Linked DNA regions of Rattus norvegicus. Each later gene encodes a partner of the first gene's protein in a complex. Links are inferred from orthologs where the notes say so. Each region holds a gene or a part of one and is shown in the gene's direction. Other genes may lie near its edges. The genes, in order: Crb1 and Pals1.

The links.
Region 2: the proteins of Crb1 (region 1) and Pals1 are in contact, whole or in part, in a crystal structure (PDB 4UU5), measured with the Homo sapiens proteins. The link is inferred for Rattus norvegicus from reciprocal best matches to the Homo sapiens genes CRB1 and PALS1. Residues at the interface, in NP_957705.1 of Homo sapiens: Ala1401, Met1402, Glu1403, Arg1404, Leu1405, Ile1406; in NP_071919.2 of Homo sapiens: Lys261, Pro266, Leu267, Gly268, Ala269, Thr270, Val271, Arg272, Asn273, Ser281, Arg282, Val284, Val314, Asn315, Val317, Phe318, Leu321.

Annotation. Positions count from the first base shown.
Region 1 is NC_086031.1:53,386,339-53,397,185, reverse strand, and holds part of Crb1 (protein crumbs homolog 1 precursor), read left to right. Parts: intron 1-793; coding exon 794-1,700; intron 1,701-3,713; coding exon 3,714-3,842; intron 3,843-7,136; coding exon 7,137-7,263; intron 7,264-10,847. UniProt on the Homo sapiens protein: Plays a role in photoreceptor morphogenesis in the retina. May maintain cell polarization and adhesion.
Region 2 is NC_086024.1:103,349,281-103,360,127, forward strand, and holds part of Pals1 (protein PALS1), read left to right. Parts: intron 1-3,289; coding exon 3,290-3,367; intron 3,368-3,721; coding exon 3,722-3,868; intron 3,869-5,547; coding exon 5,548-5,709; intron 5,710-6,975; coding exon 6,976-7,053; intron 7,054-10,847. UniProt on the Homo sapiens protein: Plays a role in tight junction biogenesis and in the establishment of cell polarity in epithelial cells.

The DNA of each region.
Region 1 (10,847 bases):
AGGAATAAGGACAGTGTGTCCCTGTAATGTTGCAAAGAGGGCTGGCACGGACACTATTCATTAGGTCAACAGGTCTGCTAGAACCTAGTGGGTGGGGCTTCTACCTCTCTTTTCTCAAGGTTGTACACAGACTGCAAGCAGACATGGAGTCAGAACGTTTAGGAGATAGGTGTTATAATTATAAAATTATAGCGATTTTAATAGAGAAATGCAGCAAGACGGTCAAAAGTGCTATATTCGCTGAAATAGCTGAACACAAAAAGCTATTATTTTCCAGTTTCCTAACCACATGAATTTACTTGGCTGTAGATGGCTAGTTGGTACCTTGGCATGTAATTGAAGGTCTTTATGTCCTAAATCAATCCATCATTTGTGAATGTTTCTGTTAACTCAATCAAAAGCCAGGGTCCATTGTTAACTAACTGGCATGTCACCAAAACTAAGTTTGTGATTCCTATGTGTTTAGTTTATATGTGAAATGGATAAGAAAGGCTTCCCTGATACAAGCCAATGGAAAACAAAAGAAAGGTGTGTGTTGAATTCTGGAATCACAATAGGCAGGCTTGTCTTTCCAGTGTGGTGTTTTTGTTTTGTTTTGTTTTGTTTAAATGACCAAGTTACTCAGCTTCTGTGAATCTCAAGTTATTCTCTTGTAAAACAAGTACCATGATAGCATCTGTATAGGACACAACTTGAGAGCCGATAGCACAGTAGGGAACGGTCTAACAAGCTGTGCGAACATCAGCGGCGTGATGCGATGAAGTTGACAATCAGTTTCCCCTTCCTGCTTTAGGTATCGCCAATGCTGCTTTCAGCGGATTAAGCAGCGAAATATTGTTCAGAAGCAATGGGAATATTACCAGAGAACTCACCAACATCACATTTGGTTTCAGAACACAGGATACAAATGCGGTGATACTGCATGCAGAAAAAGAACCAGAGTTTCTCAATATTAGCATTCAAGACTCCAGACTACTCTTTCAACTGCGAAGTGGCAACAGCTTTTATACGCTGCATCTGACGGGTTCCCAATTGGTGAATGACGGCGCATGGCACCGAGTGACTTTTTCCATGATAGACCCACGGGCCCAGACCTCCCTGTGGCAGATGGAGGTGGACGACCAGACACCCTTTGTGATAAGTGCAGTTGCTACTGGAAACCTGAACTTTCTGAAGGACAATACTGACATCTATGTGGGTGACCAAGCTGTTGACAATCAGAAAGGCCTGCAGGGCTGTCTGAGCACAGTACAGATAGGAGGGCTATATCTCTCTTACTTTGAAAGTCTTCATGGTTTCACTAGTAAGCCCCAAGAAGAGCAGTTTCTCAAAGTTTCTACAAATGTGGCACTTACTGGCTGTTTGCCACTCAGTGCCTGCCACTCTAGCCCCTGTCTGCATGGAGGAATTTGCGAAGACAGCTACAGCTCTTATCGGTGTGCCTGTCTCCCGGGATGGTCGGGGGCACACTGCGAAATCAACGTTGATGAGTGCTCCTCCAGCCCCTGTGTCCATGGCAACTGCTCGGACGGGGTTGCAGCCTACCACTGCAGGTGTGAGCCTGGCTATACTGGTGGGAACTGTGAAGCGGAGGTAGACACTTGCAAGAGTCATCAGTGTGCCAATGGGGCCACCTGCGTCAGTGGCGCTCAGGGCTACTCTTGCCTCTGTCTTGGAAATTTTACCGGCAGATTTTGCAGGTGGGCACAAAGTCGGTGAGGAGCTCAGTCTTTGGGGCTCTGCTCTGAATTTTCCTTGTCAGGCTAGGAGGCTCTCCCCCCTAAATGTCCATCCACATGTGCTAAACAAGACTGGTTTGGAACACTCCCATCACAATTTGATCATGCAAAGGTGCAATTATATATTGTGCAATATCCTGTATCAAGTCTTTTGTATAACTTAGAGAATTATGACACAGCTTAATAAAGAAAATTTAGGGCATACACCAATGCAAAATGGTCGTTATACAATACTCAGCATGTCACTACAAGAATATCTGTTCAACTTAACCCATTTTAAAGAATTTCACATTTGTTCTGAAATTGCAATAGAAGTCTATTGCTCTTGTGACCACGTCATTTTTATGCTATGAAAAATAGAGATTAAACAAAGAATCTTTTAATCCTGTTACTGTTATTGATATTTTGGCGTTACATTTATAAAATAACCGAGTCATTATAGGGAGGTGAAAGGGTAGTTATTAACGAATACCATATGCTAGGACATGGACAAGAATACCTGGAGTGGAGTAAATTGGCAGGCTGTAAGCATCACTTTAATCCACAGGTAGAGCATTTTGGCACACATTACATGCAGCCGTGCCTGGGAGAAGCTGTGTTCATCTTCTGCAGCATCTAATATTGTGCAGAGCTTCAGTGGCAAGGCACAGTGAGAAGTCCTAAGTGTTCAGGTGATTTAATAGACATTATTTCTTGCAAATTAACAGGATCATTTGTCAAGGAGTAACCTGACTGGTTAAAACCAAAACTTGGGGGTACAAATTAAGAGTCTTACACAGTGACCATAGATAAGAAAATATATATGCCCTAGGAATGAGCTCTCTGAGTCTTTTTCTGACTGATCCATCAAAGTCAAGTTAAAGAATAAAGTTCTCAAAAGTCCCTTCTAATGAACTTTTCGGGTGCTATTTATTAAGCCAAGGTGCTGCGTATAAAGCTGGAGATTTGCAATGCAAATGACTCCTTTTGGAGCCGGTTGGCACTCTTAACTCTTTTGAAATGTCCTTATGATATTTTCTTTTTGAAGTAGAGTTATTAGGCTCATTTGAAAAGACACACTCTTTTGAAAAGACACACCTCTACACCATCATCCAGGTGCTAGCTTCAGGGTATAACAGGACGATTGTGAATTTGCTCTCCACTTCCAGAATATTCATTCTGTATCTGATCACACACACACACACACACACACACACGCGCGCGCGCGCGCATGCATGCATGCATATGTGCACACACACATATGACTGAAGGTCCTGAGCAATAATTTTAAATCTGCTCCAAGATCAGCCCTTTCAAGCCTAGGGATTTCTGTCCAGCAGTATTTTCTTAGCTTTTAACAATCTATTCTGCCTTTTATAAGAGTTCTTCAGTGTGTCTAGCTTTGCGGCTATACCAAGAACCCCATGCTGAACTCACATGTAGTCACACTGAGTATTATACACAAACCGCCTGGACAACACTTGGCTGGCGCTGTGCAAAGCTATGAATTATGAGAGAGGGAGCAAGCAAGTCTTGGCAGGGCAACTGTAGTTCAGTTCTGAAAGCCAACAGAGAAATCACACGAGGGCCTGAGTACCAGAGTGGTCTCCTTGTTTTCCTGCCCTTTATAGGGATGCAATTTTCCTATGGCCTCTGTTGATTTATTAGAACAAGCAGCTGCAGTTCTAGCTAGAGTGAGCTCCTTCCCAGACTTGAATTTACGGCCACCCCATGGCGTAGATCTTATCTTATGCACGAAAGCTGCGGAGAAGGAAAGATGGATGACCACGTTGGTTGCAGTGGGCTCCAGCAGGGGCTTTTTGCTGAAGAACGTCGTGTTTTACGATGCAGCACAATCCAGCATTAATTGTTCCTCGGCCTCAGAGCTTAATTAGCCTAACATTGACTACATATATGAACTTTTCAAAAAAAAATTTTTTTCTTGCATGGGATGAACAAGATAAACAGCTGTGGCCATTATTTTTATCTCTCTAGACACAGCAGATTACCCTCAACAGTCTGTGGGAACGAGAAGACAAACTTCACTTGCTACAACGGAGGCAGCTGCTCCGTGTTCCAGGAGGACTGGAAATGTGTGTGCCGGCCAGGTTTCACTGGAGAGTGGTGAGTTACACTGGAACTTTATGGATAAAAGTTCTGAGCTAAAGAACAGAGGGATTGCCCAGAGTTCATTTTCTCCTCCAATTTTTCATCTCAGTTCCCACAGGAAAAAATCCATGTTGAAATATAGGTCCAGACAGAATCAAGCAATAAAAAAGAAGAAAAATTACAGGGTAGGTCAAAGTATAGAATATTTTACCAGCCAAGACTTCAAATAAGAAAATACGGTTTTTAAAATACATAATGTCTTATTTATTCTTTCCTATAAGTACTTCTGGATTCACGGAGTCCTTCCCTCCCCACGCTAACTCTAATATATGATTTCAATATGGTTGCTTTTGAAGTAAAATAAAACACACCTAAAAGTTACCTTATTTGATTGACTTCAACCCAAAGTATATGTACTCCTTACCCGGGCAATTCTTTCGTTCACAGAGAAGCCCTTTCACTGTTCACCTAGTCAGAGGTGCCCAGCTAGTGATACAGGGAAAGTTGTGTATGCATTTGCCTGGCTGGGGTGTGATCAAGGGGAAGAGAAGACATGCTTTGATCAGATGCCCCAAGAGATCTCCATCCCCAAACTGGTAAAAACCAGGACTCTGTGGACACAGGCATTATTTAGACAACATTACCATTGGTTTAGCACTAATCCACCCATATACCTACATTTCAGAGCTCTGTGAGCAAGATTTTGTTGTTTTTATTTTGTATGTGTGCATGTATGCATGTGTGTGTATGTGTGTGTGCATGTGTGTATATGTGTGTGTATGTGTGTATATGTATGTGTGTGCATGTGTGTATGTGTGTGTGTACACGTATGCATGTGTGTGTGCATGTGTGTATGTATGTGTGTGTGTACATGTGTGTGTGTGAAGGTGAATGCGGATTAAGCTACAGATTGATGCTGAGTTAAATGTATGCAGCAATGAAGGTTGAGCTGCCATCGAAGCTGGTGCTGCTCTACTGGGAAAGCTGACGTGAATTTGTGAGTAAGCGTTTGCTCAGCACAGCTAAAGCAAAATACAAAATGTGCTTCTCCATCTCCTAGAATAAGGTACAGGCAGTTGAGACACACATGTGTGCAGAAGGAATTAGAGGAGTCCCATTCGTGTTCCAGCTTATCACAGCATGACATGCCTCCGATTTCATATCCTCAAAATATTGTAAATAGATCTTTGGCCTAAACATAAATAACTCTTTACTATCTTCAAATGCTCGTTGCCTCCTGGCTTAATAATATTATCTCCCCTTAATAGCACAATGAATAGTATTCATCCAAAACCCTCAGTTATTTTTTGCAGTAAATATTTCCATTTCCTCCAATGTATATCAGTTTTGAAAGTCATACTTGCCATTTAAATTATTGATTGAGATGAAGGTGGGATTACTAATTTTCCTTTCTTCCCAGGGAAGATTGTCTCCACATAGACTTCACTAGTACAGAGTTATTTCTAACAGTGAATGTGCGTTTAATATATTCTGATTTTGCAAACACATTAATCATCATTAATGAATTCAGGAGATCCTAATGGCTTTACTTTGACTTTCCATATATTAATTATCATCTTTTTCATTTGTTTTTATCTCGCTTTTTCTTTGGGGACAGGATCCCATTTGTAGCCCTGGCTTGTCTAGAGCTTGCTGCTACATTGAGGAGGCTGGCCTCGAACTTGCTATCATTCCTCTGCCTGACTTGTCTCACTGCTGGAATTTGGGGAATGAGGCACCACATTCAGTCCTATTATTTTCTAATAAGGCTCCCCTGCTGTTTTCTATGCATATGCAGCATCCACTGTTTTGTTCAAAATGGAAATCAGTAAGGGAATAAAAGAAAGCAGGAGGAAGGGCTGGAAATGTTTCGGCGTCTCCCAAGGCCTAGAGCTGTGAGACTTCCACACAGCGGAGGATACTGAGAAGCTGTTGAGCTTGCCTAAGCTTCCAGCTTCATGTTGTCAGTCAGTCCAGCACGTTCAGGTGATGGATGGTGTGAATGCTGGCCACCCATACACAGAGTACTTGGCAAGCTCCTGAGAGTTGTCAAGTTTGGCTGGGATCTAATCAGAGAAGCCTCCTTCCAGCCCAGAAGCCAGGGCCGTAAAAGGAAAACAGAGAGTCTCAGCTATGTTCGCTATCCCATGGATAAAGAGCTATTTTCCTTGGACTGAATCTCCATTTCCCATCACACCATCTCACAGCTCCTCCACCTCGGCCCTTGCATTAGAGCCTGGTGAGAAGTCTCTGCACACACAGACATTCTACGTTGGGGGGAAGTGGAGATTAAAAACAGTTTATAGCGTAAATGGTTCTGCAGAGTTTTTCCTAAGATAGCGCAAATGCCTTCACCACTGCTCAAGCCCTTAGCAGAGTATCTGGCACACGGTAAATAAAACTACTGAACTAATCCTTGGAGGGCCAGAACAAGGAGTTGCGACTATACATAATAACATTCCAAAAACCTAAAACTTCAATGAAAGCGTCAATAGAACGATGTGCCATTTGATTATTTCAACCTCATTTGAACATACACCATTGTATACACAGTATCAACATCACACATATACACACTAACACACACACACACACACACACACATCCAACGTGTCTGCCATTTTTGTGTTCATATATCAGTTTTTTAAAAAATCAAAAGAAAAAAATATCGGTTGAAAAGGAGGCAGACAGTACTCAAGTACCTTAGAGTGGACATTGTTCTTTTTTTCCCAGAAAAGTCATATAGGAAAACACTTACTAGAACGTTTAGAGTTCCTTGTCACTACTTAGACCATGGATTTATTAACTGGGTTCTTCCTTACTTTTCTAAATGCTTAAACAAATTGAATTTCAAAGGAAAATAATCCAACATCTCCTAGAATTAGCCAAGTCTATCCTGAGGCAGAGAAACTCTAGAACTTTCACAGCCTGTGCTGTCTCTGCCCTGTAGATTCCAGGCTAGCAAAGTCAGCCCCCCAGTATCTATCCAATAAAGCTGACATTTAAAAGGTGGCAAACTGACCCACGCTCCTGAGGGACAATCAGGACTTCTAAATATTTGCAGTCATTTTCTTATTTGAATTAATTCAATGTGTACACCTATGTCTGTGCATTTGTGCACAGACAAATTTCCACAAAACTCAGAATGTATTAAAGGGCTCTTAAGGAACCTCTGAAATTATCCAGTGTGTTTAATTGGGTAGATTTGGTGCAAACTCTATGCCATGTTAGAAAGAGGGACAAACCATTGCTCAATCTAACAATCCGCCTGCCTGACCTGGGGCATCTGCTTTTATATCCATTTTCAAGGTGTGAAGAGAACATCAATGAATGTGCCTCTGACCCCTGCATCAACGGAGGCCTGTGCAGGGACTTGGTCAACAGATTCCAGTGCATCTGTGATGTGGCCTTTGCGGGCGAGCGCTGTGAGCTGGATGTAAGCGGCCTTTCCTTCTATGTGTCCCTTTTACTGTGGCAAAACCTCTTTCAACTCCTGTCCTACCTCATTCTGCGCATGAATGATGAGCCAGAGGTAGAGTGGGGTGCACAGGAAAATTATTAACGTGTAAAACATTGACTTTCAAGAAACATCTTGTCTCAGTGTACGACAAAGGGAAAATTAGGGAATAGAATCCATTTAGAGAGGTGATTCTCAACTTTCCTCATGCCACAGCCCTTTAGTACAGCTCTTCCTGTTGTAGTGGCCCCAACCATAACATTGTTTTCACTGCTACTTCATAATCCTTCTACTCTTATAAATCATAATGTGAATATTAGGTTCTCTGACAGTCTTAAGTGACACCTGTGAAAAGGTCATTGATTCCCCCAAAGGGTTCATGACCTACAGGTTGAGGACTGCAGACTTGGAGGATGACAATGCATTTAAGGACACCACAAGCAGTTTGGGTCTATAGAAGGTATTTTCCTATTCTAGTTTTTTTTTTTTTTAGACACACCAGAAGAGGGCATCAGATTCCATTAAAGATGGTTGTGAGCCACCACATGGTTCCTGAGAATTGAACTCAGGACCTTTGGAAGAGCAGTCAGTGCTCTTTCCAGCCCCTAAGAATGTTCTAATACAGTCAGAAAGAGCTCACCACCCAGCCTGCTGAGTCCAGGCCACTGTCGTCCTCAACGCTTCCATATTGAATGATTTTCATTACACTTAGAAAACCTTTTCTCTCCACTCCACCTCTGCACGTTCCCTATTTTCCTACTGACAGTTTCCCCCCCTCACCATGATTCTAATGCGGTGTGTGGTCCTCCTTCTCACCAGTTATATGTAACATGAACATTTAAAAATACCTATAAACATTTTTATAGTCATGTGTGTCTTCCTGCAAAGCTATTCTCCACGGACAGTTCTTTTCTACACGAAGAAGAAATGAGTTCACCCCCCAGGAACACAGAAAAAAGATGCTCACAGTATCCTTCATCAGCATCACTTCTGATATCATGGACCATTCTTTCCACCAGCAAATAGCAGAGAGCATTTTCTCTATTAGTTCCCCTCACGTTTCCCCCTTTTCCGTTACAATTGGAAACTTTCCGTTAGGTACTGACACATTTGTAGGGGGTTTGACTTTCCCATCAAGAATTCCCTGATTCAGTATTTATGCAAAATATCTTTGCAAGGGGGGGGGGGGTCTATATCAGTCCAACAGAGATGTCATTAGTGTTCATTGAGGAGGAAATACTTTGAATGAATTCACACCACCACTGAAGCAGCAGTAGTCTGAAAGACACCCTTCTGCGAATGTGCCCGTGTCTTCAGGAGCTGCCCTGGTTTGAAGGCATGTGGGTAACTTGTGTTTTGCATGTTATCAATGCTCAGTGGGTCACGACTGTTTTAAAAAGAGCTTTTTCTGTGGCAATGACCAAGGCGAATCCAGATATGCCAGTCACACAAAGGGGTATTGCTCTATTCCTCAGTACTTATTCATTTTACGTAGCAGCCTCCACCCCGCAGCAACCCTTTCACAATAGTAATGACGCTGAGCTCTGACCTTCCTTCTCAGCATTTTCCTTGTATCCAAAGCATGGTGTCCACACCGCTCTCCTAAAACGAGACCTTGTAGCCAGAAAGGCAGGGAAAACATTTCCAAAAATATTTGCACTCTTAAGTATTTGCAATTGAGTAGATTACAGCCAGAGACAATATGCAGAGTTTCAGGTTTGCTCCCTTCCACACATGACTTCAACTGTCCTCAATGTGATGTGCTCCCTATAGAATATATTTAAGGAGTATTTACCCACAGTGTCATTCTCTGTGCAGTTCTAATGCTTCTGTTGTCACTGTAACTGTTGATTGTTTTCCTGTCTTCCAACTGTCTTATTAGCATTTAATAGCTTTTTGCTAAATGCCCTCTTTCTATTCTCCTTATTTCTCCATAGTTCAAGTATGTCTGTGTGACTAAGGATTCTCCTCATTTTCACAGAAAAATAAATCTTTTCTTCCTTCCGTTCTGTTGGTCATTCTCTGGTGACACATGCCTTTGCTTACTTGGACCGAGGGTTACACAGTAAGTGATCCGCAACTAGGCTCAGTTGCGCAGACAACCATCACCGCCACCAGCAGCAGCAGCTGGACACCAGACACAAGCATGAGTAGTCATCTCTTGATGACTCCTTCCCCCTTACGTGTCATTGCAAGTAAGCACCATGACACCAAGGCCAGGTCCCATGGACTTTCTTTGGTAGGCAAGTGACTCTGTAATCCAATAGCTCATTTGTTTCACTCTTGACTTATATCGTCTCTGACAAAGCTGGTCTTAGTTTGACCTGGTCATGAGGAAAGACCATCACACCTAAAAGACAGAAATTCACACACTCAGGTTCTCAGGTTTTCCTAATTTACACACACACACACACACACACACACACACACACACACACACACACACGCATATCAAATCTCTGTAATTGACTACATTTTTTTGCTGATGTTTCATCATTAACAGCTGTAGCACACCGGATTGTGATTGGGGTTGACTGTCTTCCTCCTTTGTGAGTATATACATGGGAGTGGATTGAAGCACCCCCCCCCCTCTCTCTGCTGAAAAAAAGAGAAACGGGGAAACGTGGAGAGATGCCATGTTTTGATTGTAAAGAGAAAAGTAAATTCAGTTAGTGCTGGTTCAGAAATCTGGGTCAGGAGTGTGAGGAACCATTTTCAGTACATCGTTTTTTTTTTTTCTAACTACACTTTTTCAATACTACATATCAATAAATTCCTCCCACCCCAACTTTTATTTTACTAAGTTTTTCTGGAAGATGGCTAAAATAGAAGTTATTTAGTCAATACTTCCAAATTAAAGCTCTTTCTGGAAGTAGGGTTATACTATTTGAGTTTAGTGATTTAGAGAAGAATTCTGCTTCAACTACTAATGTCCTTTCCGTATTGCTTGGCGTGGCCTTTAGTACTCAACAAATGATGTAGTGAGGACTTACACTATGGCACTCCCTGGTAACTCCTGGCCAACCGCCATGAGTGAACACGATGCTCACCCATATAAAGCCAAAAGGAACAGTAGGTAAGGAAGGCAGATAAATCAAGATGAGGAATTCTTCAGCCAGTGTTGTGATAAAAGTAGGTCTCCACTGTGCGGCCTGCGAAGCAAGGGGGTTTTGTCCAAAATTAAAACTGGATGTAGAGGGTCAAGAAGGCAAGCTTTACAACGGCTTTGCTGAGATTTGAAGGTAAGTAGAAACTTGGTGGGAAAGGAGAGATGGGGAAGACTACAATACTCCAGGCAGGAGGTGCTGTGAAGTTTGCATGGCATAGCTAGGAAACAGAGGGGGAGCATGGTTAGTCTCAGCTCTAGAAGTAAACGGAAAATGCTTAAAGTCATGTAAAGACTATGGCTTTCCATCCTAAGACCACTTGCGGGGCCTTTAAAGGCTTCAACATAAAAGCGACAATTACACTTATACTCTCAAAGGTCACTTGAACTTTTACATAGAAATGGATTAAGGACAGATAAGACTGCACTAATGAATCTGTAACTAAGAGACAACTAC
Region 2 (10,847 bases), on another chromosome or scaffold:
ATGTGAGCATGTACATGCTGTGTGTGGTGTGAGTGTGGAGGGCAGAAAAAAACTTAGAAGAGTCAGGTCCCTCCCTCAACTGTGTGGATTCTGGGAAATGAGCTGGGGTTGTTATCAGGCTGGTGGCAAGTGCCTTTACCTACTGAACCATCTTGTCAGCTCTCTGGCTACTGACTCTCAGATATGTGGTGTGGGGGTGTCTTGTTTTAATTTTCCTTTCCACCATGATTGCTGACACTATTTTTTTGTGTGGTCATTGACCATTTCTTGTTTTTAATGAAATACGTGGTCAGATCTGTTTTCATTGGGCAGTGGGAGGGGCAGGTAACATATAAGGACAGTCTTTCAGCTCCCTTGGCCTGCGAGTGGTGTGCACTGGCACCAGCATAGACAGCATCTGTGTTGGCTGGTACAGAAATGGGTATTTATCAGAGATGCTTAGGAACTGACTTAAAAGTATAAACAGAAAAAAGTACCTAAAATATTATTGACCTGATTGTAGCTTTTATAAAGTCTTGGGTTTGTTTGTTGTTGTCATTGTTGTTGTTTTTTTTTTTTTTTTTTTTCCGGAGCTGGGGACCGAACCCAGGGCCTTGCGCTTCCTAGGCAAGCGCTCTACCACTGAGCTAAATCCCCAACCCCTGTTGTTTTGTTTTTAATTCAAACCTGTCTTCCCCTCTGAGAGTTGCTTTCTCCAGCAGTAACAAAGTATTTGGTCAGGGACTATAGATTTCAAATTAACTTTGAGTAGTTTTCATAAAGTTTCAAAAGGAAAGCAGTGTCTTTAAAAATCAGCATTTACTTACCTATAGTTTCTGGTACTAAAACTAGAGGACCGTGGTCTCAGCACTATGCTTTGTTTATTAAAGTGTTTCACTGGTTAGCCCTGGCTTATCTAGAACTCACAGAGATCCTCCTGCCTATGCAATGAGAGGATTAAAGGAATATATCACCACACCCTGCACTGTCCTGTTTTGGTTTGTTTTGGTTTTCTAATATTTTATATTTGTGGGTGGGTGTGTGCACACGTGGTTATGGGAACCAGAAGAAGAAATCAGATCCCCTAGAATTGGAGTTACAGGTGGTCGTGAGCTACCTGCAGTGGGCTCTGGGAATTAAACCTCAATCTTTTTTATAAGAACGGCAAGAGCCTAGAACAAAAGAAACTCAAGACGGATGATCAAAATGTGAATGCTTCACTCCTTCTTTAAAAGGGGAACAAGAATACCCTTGGCAGGGAATAGAGAGGCAAAGATTAAAACAGACACAGAAGGAACACCCATTCAGAGCCTGCCCCACATGTGGCCCATACATATACAGCCATCCAATTAGACAAGATGGATGAAGCAAAGAAGTGCAGGCCGACAGGAGCCGGATGTAGATCGCTCCTGAGAGACACAGCCAGAATACAGCAAATACAGAGGCGAATGCCAGCAGCAAACCACTGAACTGAGAATAGGACCCCCGTTGAAGGAATCAGAGAAAGAACTGGAAGAGCTTGAAGGGGCTCGAGACCCCATATGTACAACAATGCCAAGCAACCAGAGCTTCCAGGGACTAAGCCACTACCTAAAGACTATACATGGACTGACCCTGGACTCTGACCTCATAGGTAGCAATGAATATCCTAGTAAGAGCACCAGTGGAAGGGGAAGCCCTGGGTCCTGCTAAGACTGAACCCCCAGTGAACTAGACTGTTGGGGGGAGGGCGGCAATGGGGGGAGGATGGGGAGGGGAACACCCATAACGAAGGGGAGGGGGAGGGATTAGGGGGATGTTTACCCGGAAACCGGGAAAGGGAATAACACTCGAAATGTATATAAGAAATATTCAAGTTAATAAAATTAAAAAAAGAAAAAAAAAAAAGAACAGCAAGAGCTCTAAACTGTGGAGCCTTTCTTCAGCCCTTATCATTGCTTTGGTATGCCCATTGTGGTTAAAATTGGTCCTCGTTTTACCAATAAAACTGTAAAGGTTTAATTGCAGAATTGCTAATAAAGTAACCATAAAGGATATAGAATTCCTGTTTAAATCATTGGTTACTCTTATACTTCCATTAATAGTCACAGTTTTGGTTTTGTTATTTACTTTATTGCAGTGGACCATTTTGGAATTGGGATTTGGAGGTACAAAGGCAAAAACGAGGCATAAAGAGGATAATCTGGGAGAAAGCAGTGTGCAGAGGAACATAGCTGCCTCAATATTCATTGGTAGAAGATTGAAAACTGCAAATAAGTGGGCTTAATTTTTAGTCCATTAGTTAGAAACCAAGGGAATGGAAAAGAGTACTTAAATTTCTTAATAGGAAGAATAGATAATCATGACATTAATAGCTGGTTCTTTAAAAAGGCCAGGAAAGGGGTTGGGGATTTAGCTCAGTGGTAGAGCGCTTGCCTAGCAAGCGCAAGGCCCTGGGTTTAGTCCCCAGCTCCGAAAAATAGAAAAGTAAAAAAAAAAAAAAAAAAAAAAAAAAAAGGCCAGGAAAAAAACAACACTGTGGTTAAGATAGTTAAGCCATCCAGCAATGTTAGGAAAGAAAGATCACAAGTGCAGACCCACATTGAGGTCATCTGGTCAGCCTTTGAAGAGCTTTACATGATGGGGGCCAGCCTGCATATGACGAAAGACTGGACCTGAAAACCGTATCAGAACTGCGGGATTTATCCTAAGAAAACAGTGTCCAGCACTGCTACAGTTATCTTGTGAATCTGTAACTTTAAATTTTCATCTGAGATTTTTTAAAAAGATTTATTTATTTATTTATTATACATAAGAACACTATAGCGGTCTTCAGACATACCAGAAGAGGGCATCAGATCCCGTTACAGATGGTTGTGAGCCACCATGTGGTTGCTGGGAATTGAACTCAGGACCTCTGGAAGAACAGTCAGTGCTCTTAACCTCTGAGCCACCTCTCCAACCCTCATCTCCGATTTTTAATGTAGTTCTTGAAACATAGCATTTAAATCTCTAAAACAGCATGATAACTATAGGTGGAACAGATCTTCTGTCATGTAATTATTAAAGTGGATTTCATGCTATGTTAGGAGAAACTTTAAAAATTGAAATGGTTCATTTGCAGTTGTAACTACCATGATATTTGAAGTATGTTTATTTTTATCTATAATAAGATTGAAAGATCTCTGAGAAAAGATTTTTTTTCTTATGTTTCTTTAGTGTTTTTCTTTAAGTGGTTTTGCCATTTTATTATCACTTAAAAATATTCTCCTGCATAGATGCTGCTGCTAATTGCTATAAACTAAGAAAAAAATTTTTTTTATTTCTTTAGGTACAAACTGTCTTAAAGCCAGTCCATCAGAAGGAAGGACAAGAATTAACTGCTTTGTTAAATGCTCCACATATTCAGGTAGAAAAAGGACAGAATATTGTTTGTTTCTAATATTCGGTTTTTTGTTTTGTTTTGTTTTTGTTGTTTTGTTTTGTTTTTTTAATTACAGTCTCCTAGAGTTGGAAGAGACCTAGTCATGTAGTTTGTAACCCTCTCTGCAAAGTAATTATTGCTGGGTTATACAATTCCATATGTAAAACTTTACAAATTATGTTTTTAAATAGCTTATTTTTAAAAACTGATCAAAAGTCCCTTACATATTTGTGCTGTTTTAGGCCCTTATGGACTTGATTTTAATACTCGGTGCATGAGAAAACTATACAAAAATAAGTCATGTTCTCACTTGAAGCACTGTGGGTTTCTTTGAAACAGGCACTTTTACTGGCCCATGATAAGGTTGCTGAGCAGGAAATGCAGCTAGAGCCCATAACAGATGAGAGAGTCTATGAAAGTATCGGCCATTATGGGGGAGAAACTGTAAAAATAGTTCGTATAGAAAAGGCTCGGGATATTCCATTGGTAAGTGTTCTCATGTCTGATCTAAGATTGTTTTCTATGCTAAGACCTCATATGGTACAGAGTTGAAGATCCCATTATGTTCCTGGAGAGTTTTCTCTTTGTGGGTTAATTTGTTAATTGTAATATGCTATTGCTCAAAAGCCTTACTTGGTTGAAAAACTAATTTCATTACCTTTTCTCATTTTAATTTTCACATTTTAATGAAAATAATAACTTATGAAATACTTACTGAAGATCAAGAAGAGAAATCTAATTTTCTTTTTTTTTTTTTTTTTCCTGGAGCTGAGGATCGAACCTAGGGCCTCACGCTTGCTAGGCAAGCGCTCTACCACTGAGCTAAATCCCAACCGAAAACTAATTTTCTAACTTACTCTTTACAACAGAAGTTAGATAATCTGGTCTTTGGGAACTAGGCGCATGGTTTGATTGGAACATTCTTAGCACACAAAGCATGAGGATCAAGAGGTTGTACCCTAGCACGTACATGAAAAGCCAAGCATGATGGCATATGTCTGTACTCCCAGCTCTGTCACTGACAGGCAGACTTCTCTGGAGTTTGCAGGCTAGCCACCAGCCTAGCCAGATTAGTTCCAGGTTAAGTGCTCCAAATGTGAGATGGAGAGAGATTGAGGACTTCCAGCACACACATGCGCAGGGACACACATACACAACACTCTCTCACACACACTCTCTCTCTCTCTCCCTCCCTCCCTCCCTCCCTCTCTCTCTCTCTCTCTCTCTCTCTCTCTCTTTCTCACACACACACACACATACACACACACCACATAAACACACTAAATAATAAAGTAATAAAAATATTTTTTAAAAGAATGTATAAGCACTTTATGTAACTAGTTCCTTCTTGGAGAATAAAAGGAAAAGTCATGATAATAGAAAAGTGATACTTAGGAAAATTAGGACCTTTTTTAATATTTGTTTACTCATTATGCATATATGTCTGAGTATATTTATGTGTACCACATGCATGCAGGTGCCTCAGAGGACGAAAGGGAGTTACTTGGGTCCCCTGGCTTGAGTTACAGGGGTTTGTAAGTTGTTTAGTGTGGATGCTGGGAACAAAATCTATGTCTTTTGCAGGAACAAAAGCTGTTAACCACTGAGCCCTAGAAAATAAGTTTTACTTTATTTTACTGTTCCAGCTTTTGAGTATATACTTTCCCACTGTTCTTCTAATTTGTATAATAAATATTAGTATTTGATGCATTTGGTTGCAGCTGTTTAACATTTGCATAGTTAGCCATATTGTTATTTATCCTTTGATTATATTTTGAATTTTAAGAAATTCTTTATAGTTAGGCATTGTGTTAATTATATACCTAGATGTTTTCTAGCTGTTGGAAGAGAATCCAGCAGAAAAAAATTTTGATTTTATGTCTTTAAACACAGAGTATATGTTATATTATCTGCTATTATATGTTTCAGAAGTCTGTGTACTACAGAATTTTAATGAATAAAGCATCTCTGAAACAAATGTTTGGTGAGGAACGCTTAGCTCTCATGTTAAATTACAGTTGTTAGTGTAGCAATGCGAGTAAAGTTTTTCCTTAAGATAAACTAAGAGCTAGTCTTATTAGATTTAAAAAAAATAAAATTTAAAAATGAAATGCTTAACAAAAAATTGCATTTTTATGTTTAAATTAGATATTGGGTGTTTTTAGGGTGCCACGGTTCGTAATGAGATGGATTCTGTCATCATAAGTCGGATAGTGAAAGGAGGCGCGGCAGAGAAGAGCGGGCTTCTGCACGAAGGAGACGAAGTCCTAGAGATCAATGGCATCGAAATCCGGGGCAAGGACGTCAATGAGGTTTTTGACTTGTTGGTATGTTCAGACTGTAGAATATTTGATTCATTTAAAAGCCTGTTTTGTTATTAAACTTAGATTATTAAAGAATATTTTTTAAATAACTGATGAGTATAAGGTAGTTTTTAGCCTAACTTTTACAGGATTTGTCAATTTTTGTTATTATATTTTTGGCTTGGGGTTTATTTTTATTTACTGTGAACTTTATTATAAGTTTTACTTTTACTATTTTTTTAAAGATTTATTTCTACATGTGTCAGTATACCTTGTGCATGCCTGATGAATTAAATTAAAACTCAGTTTCTTATTCTCACTAGCTATAGTTGAACAAGATTTATTATGTAGTTAATGGCTGTTGTCTGAGATAGCTGCAACATATTTCTGTTGAACAAATTCTACTGGGCAGTGCTAGGATAATTAGGTAGTCACTTCTAATTACCTTCTTTAATTTCCTAAGATTTACTTATTTTATGCCTTATGAGTATTTTGCCTGCATGTATGTATGTGCTCTACATACATGACTGGTATCTGAGAAAGTCAGAATAAGATTGGCTCCCTTAAAGCTGGAGCTACATATGGTTGTGAGCCAAAATATGGGTGCTGGGAATCAAACTGAGATCCTCTGCAAAGGCCACAAGTGCTCTTAACTAAGTGCTGGGGTTAAACACATGTGCCACCATGCTTAGCCCAATTGCCTTGATTAATCATATTGTATTCAACACAAATTAGGATTTTTCTTTCCTTTTTGGAGGCAAGGTCTGAGGTAAAACTCAGTATATATCCCAGACTGGCCTTTTTGGTGATTTTCCTCCCATGGCATCTGCCAGTACTCCCGTCTACAAACCAATGTGTGTACTTATCTTAATTATGTAGCATCAGGTGTTGCGTAGTATGTCTACTACCTACCAATGTGTGTTGTAAAAGCTAGAGAATATCCATATCCCTATTTCCCTAAATCTCTGCCTGTAGCTCTGGAAGAGCCAAGTCATCCCTCAGAGCCCATTTGATTGATACTGTCGTGCACTGAGCACTGCTCCTTGTTTTATCCGCATGAAGTTAGGAAGAGTGCGGTCTAGGCTGGCTGTGTCTGAATGCAGCTAGTGCTGCACTGGCAGTGATTACGAATCTGGCTGCACAACTCGGTACAGTACATGGTGACAAGACTAAATAATGAAATTAGCTAGGAAGGGAACGTTTCCCTCTAGGACTGAGGGAGTTCCGCCATCAGAATGTTAATCATAAGATCATGGACGATTTTAAAGTACTTTAACCTTTCTGTTACAGTCTGATATGCACGGTACGTTGACATTTGTTCTGATTCCTAGTCAACAGATCAAGCCTCCTCCCGCCAAAGAAACTGTAGTAAGTAATTTTAAAATATGTATTGCTTATTCCTCTTCCACTTCTGTCTGCTTTTCTGTATCAGAAACTTGACTGAATATGGTGTGTTCAAGTAAAAACAGAGAAATCAGGTAATTGTATTTAAGTAAGTATAAAACATCATTTAAAATTTAGTAAACTGAACTTTTTAAAAGTAAAATATATGGCATAGTTCAGTTTCAGACATTTTAACATTGTTGTTTGTCTTCAGTTATAATGGAGTTTCGTTTAGTCGTGTAGAGAAGGGTACTTTTACAAATATGTATAAGTCATTACTCTGATGTATTTCTATATGTTAAATATTTAACACAGCTCTATTAAGTGATAGACTTGGTTACTGTACAACCCAGCATGCCTGGAAAGAATATTAGGAGAATTTACTATAGAACAGTTCATACATGAATGTTCATGCTGGTATTATTTATAAGACCCAAAATGTAAAAACAACTTAAAAATAGCCATAGCCACCAGCGATAATTTGAAAATACAGCATGGTTTATCTGTCTGTACACTGAGATATTATCTGATTAAAAGGGCTGAAGTAGAGTATATTCTACAAAATACATGAGCTTGAAAAACTTATGGCAATCACAAGGCCTTTACTGGTTTATTTATGTACAATATCCAAAATAGGTAAGTTCATAGAAACTGGAATGTTTCAGTGGCCCCTTAAATGTATAGATGAGGAACTGGGAGAGAGTGGGAATGGCCCTCATCAGTAGTGGGTGCAGAAGGCTGGAAATATTCTAACAGTATCAGTGGTCAGCCTCTGTCTCCGCATATACTCAAACTGTAAATTGTGTAGCATGTTAATTACGTCATAAGCAATTAAAATAAGGCTTTAAGGTCTTAGATTGATATGGAAGCCTGGTCTTCATTTATACATTTGTTATTCTTTTTTATCATTATTTTTGTTCAGTTACCGAATCAAATCATGGCTTCATCGTAACATTTTATGTGTGTATAGCATTGTGCTTTGTTCATATCCACCTCTACATCTGTTATTTTTAGTTCTCCCAAAATTTTAACTATTTGAAAAAGAACCAGTTTCATTTTTACTTTGTCTTTTACCACAGGTGTGTTATTTTATTTGGCTCTTTCTGTTTTCTGTTATTTCTTTCCAGAACATATTCCAGTTGATACTGCATTTGCAACCTTTTTTGTGTGTTTAGAATTCTTTGTAGGAAGAGGCATGAAAAAACAGACTTGGCCTCTGAATTCAGCCATTCTCTGTGCCTTGCCTTTCCATGTGTCTGTGCTTGCCTTTCCATGTGTCTGTCCTGTAACTGAGCCTCCAGTGTGAAAAGAGACACAACTGAAGAGCATTGAAACATGCTGTCCTCTAAATGTTCCTGATAATCAATCCATCCTTCCTCAGTAAATGATTTTTGTCTTTTGAGAATAAGTGTCAGAGGTTGAGGTATATTTTATAAGCTTTTCTTTTCTACTGCTCATGCAACCTGGAATTACCCTTAATAAAAGTTATTTCTTTTACAGCTATACATTTATTTTTTAGGGGTGCATATGCACTACAGCATTTATATGGTCATCAGGGAGTCAGTTTTCTCCTTCCACCATGTGGGTCCCAAGAATCAAACTCAGGTCATCAGGTGTGGCAGCAAGATGCAGGCCTGTTAAAATTACTTTAATAGATAAAACTAGCGTGCTGTATGATGCTGCTGCTTCTCAGTTAATGTTGTATGTTGTTATTGTTTTCAGCAAATGCAAAAGCAGAGTACTGAAATAATTCATTCATCACAGCTCTTGGTTATTTTTGGACTTTGGGGACAGGGTAGTGTTGGGCATCCTAGAACTCGCTCTGTGGACCAGCTTGCCTTGAACTCGCAGATCTGCCTCTGTCTCACAAGTGTTGGCATTAAAGGTGTGCATAACCATGCCTGGCCCTTGTTTTTTATAAACATAAGAATGAAATAACTGTCTAGGAATGGTGGCTTACAGCTAATTCCAGCATTTGGGAAGCTGACATCAAACAAACTGTGAGTTAGAGTAACTGGGCTAGTGGGGGGGAAGAAACTTAAAAAGAAGTATCCTATCCTGTGGAGGCCATTGGCTGTCTACCTTTAGTTACTACAAAATAAAAGGCTCAGCTGGCGTGATACATTTCAGATGTGTCGAGATGCGCTTGTCCTATAAATATAACATGTCCTCTGCTACATGAAGCAATCCTCCAGGTTGCCAGCCACTTAAATTAGGATGACTGGGAAATGAATTGGGTAGGCTAGAGTAAATTGAAAAGCATCCTTGAGTGATTTTCTTGCCTTTGGAACAGATCATAAAGCTATGTTGATCCCTCACTGGTCTTTTGGATTCCCTTGGTATGATAGAGGATTATAAGACCTTTCTATCTAACACCCAACTGTCTATCAATGCAGAGGCCACAAGTCTGAGGTGTTGTTAAGGGTTCAGCTTTTTGGTGGTGGTGCATGCCTCTAATCCCAGCATTTGGGAGGCAAGGCAGGCAGATCTTTGACATCTGAAGCCAGCCTGGTCTACATAGGATGTTCCAGGACAGCCAGGGCTACAAAGTGAGACCCTGTCTCAAAACAGAGAGCAGGAGTTGAGCCTTTTAAGAAGTATCGTAGCAGGCACTCCAGCAATGCACTCTGCATAGCCATGGTGGGTATTGCTTTCAGACAATGATTTAATAAAATCAGCCTGACAAATCACCCAGTTGGGTAGACCTACAAAGCCTGTTAAAGCAATTTCACTACTTCTAGAAAGGCTTAAAATTTTACTTTTTTGGTTCCCAGGGTTTGGGGACACACACATGTAAAAAGATAACAATTTAAATAGATTTTGGAAGCAATTTTCACCCAGTTTCTAAAACAATTCTAGCTCATACTGTTTTTCTTATACTCAGTTGATAATTTGTATGCGTGTTCTTTTTAAACACCCTTCCAACTATGTTTTGGCTCCCTGCTATCCCACAGAACTTTTTAAAATTCATGTTGGTACTGAGTATTCAAGATTTTAATCTAATGTCTATTTTCACATCAAGAATAGGAGGTTCCTTAGGTAGATAGTTATCTTAGATAAATAGAAACCCACTTTCTAATTAGAACATGGTATTTTTACCATATTGTAAGCAACACCCAAAGAACCAGAATGTCACCAGCATCTAAAATTCCTATCTATGTCCCCTTTAGCTCCTGTCCATCTTGTAATCGACCCCACACACCCCATAAACATTTTCTTCATTTCTAGAAACACCTAATTCCTTCATATTTTTTTGGATCGAATAGTTTTCAGTCAAATAAAGTAAGAATTTTTTTTCCCAGTGATCATCCTGATTTAGATCATTTCTCAGTGTGGAACATGCTACTTATATGCACTTCTAAAAGAAACACTAAGCAGTTAAGGCACAGCTACACTGGTCATGAAATCAGTTGGCTATGACAGCCCCAGGAAAGCTGACACTTGTTTACATAGGATCTAGTGACACTAATCTACCTTTTCTCATAGTAGTGGTTTAGAAGCTGCGTGCCTTACTGAGAATCATTGTTTTCACAGGTCAGACCGCTTCTATTCTGGTTGCCTTGCTTTTGAGGCAGCTTTGTATCTCAGTTTGTCAGCTGTTAACAGTCACCCAGTTTGAACTACTTCTCTCTAGTCTACAGAGATGTCAGTAGATAAGCTTAAACAAATCCTGCCCTAAAGTGCTGTTGCTTAACTAAATGTCCTGTCATTTCATTTCCCTGCACTGGTAGAACACATAGGTTACGTTTGTACTGGATATTTTGTTTTACTGTTTTATA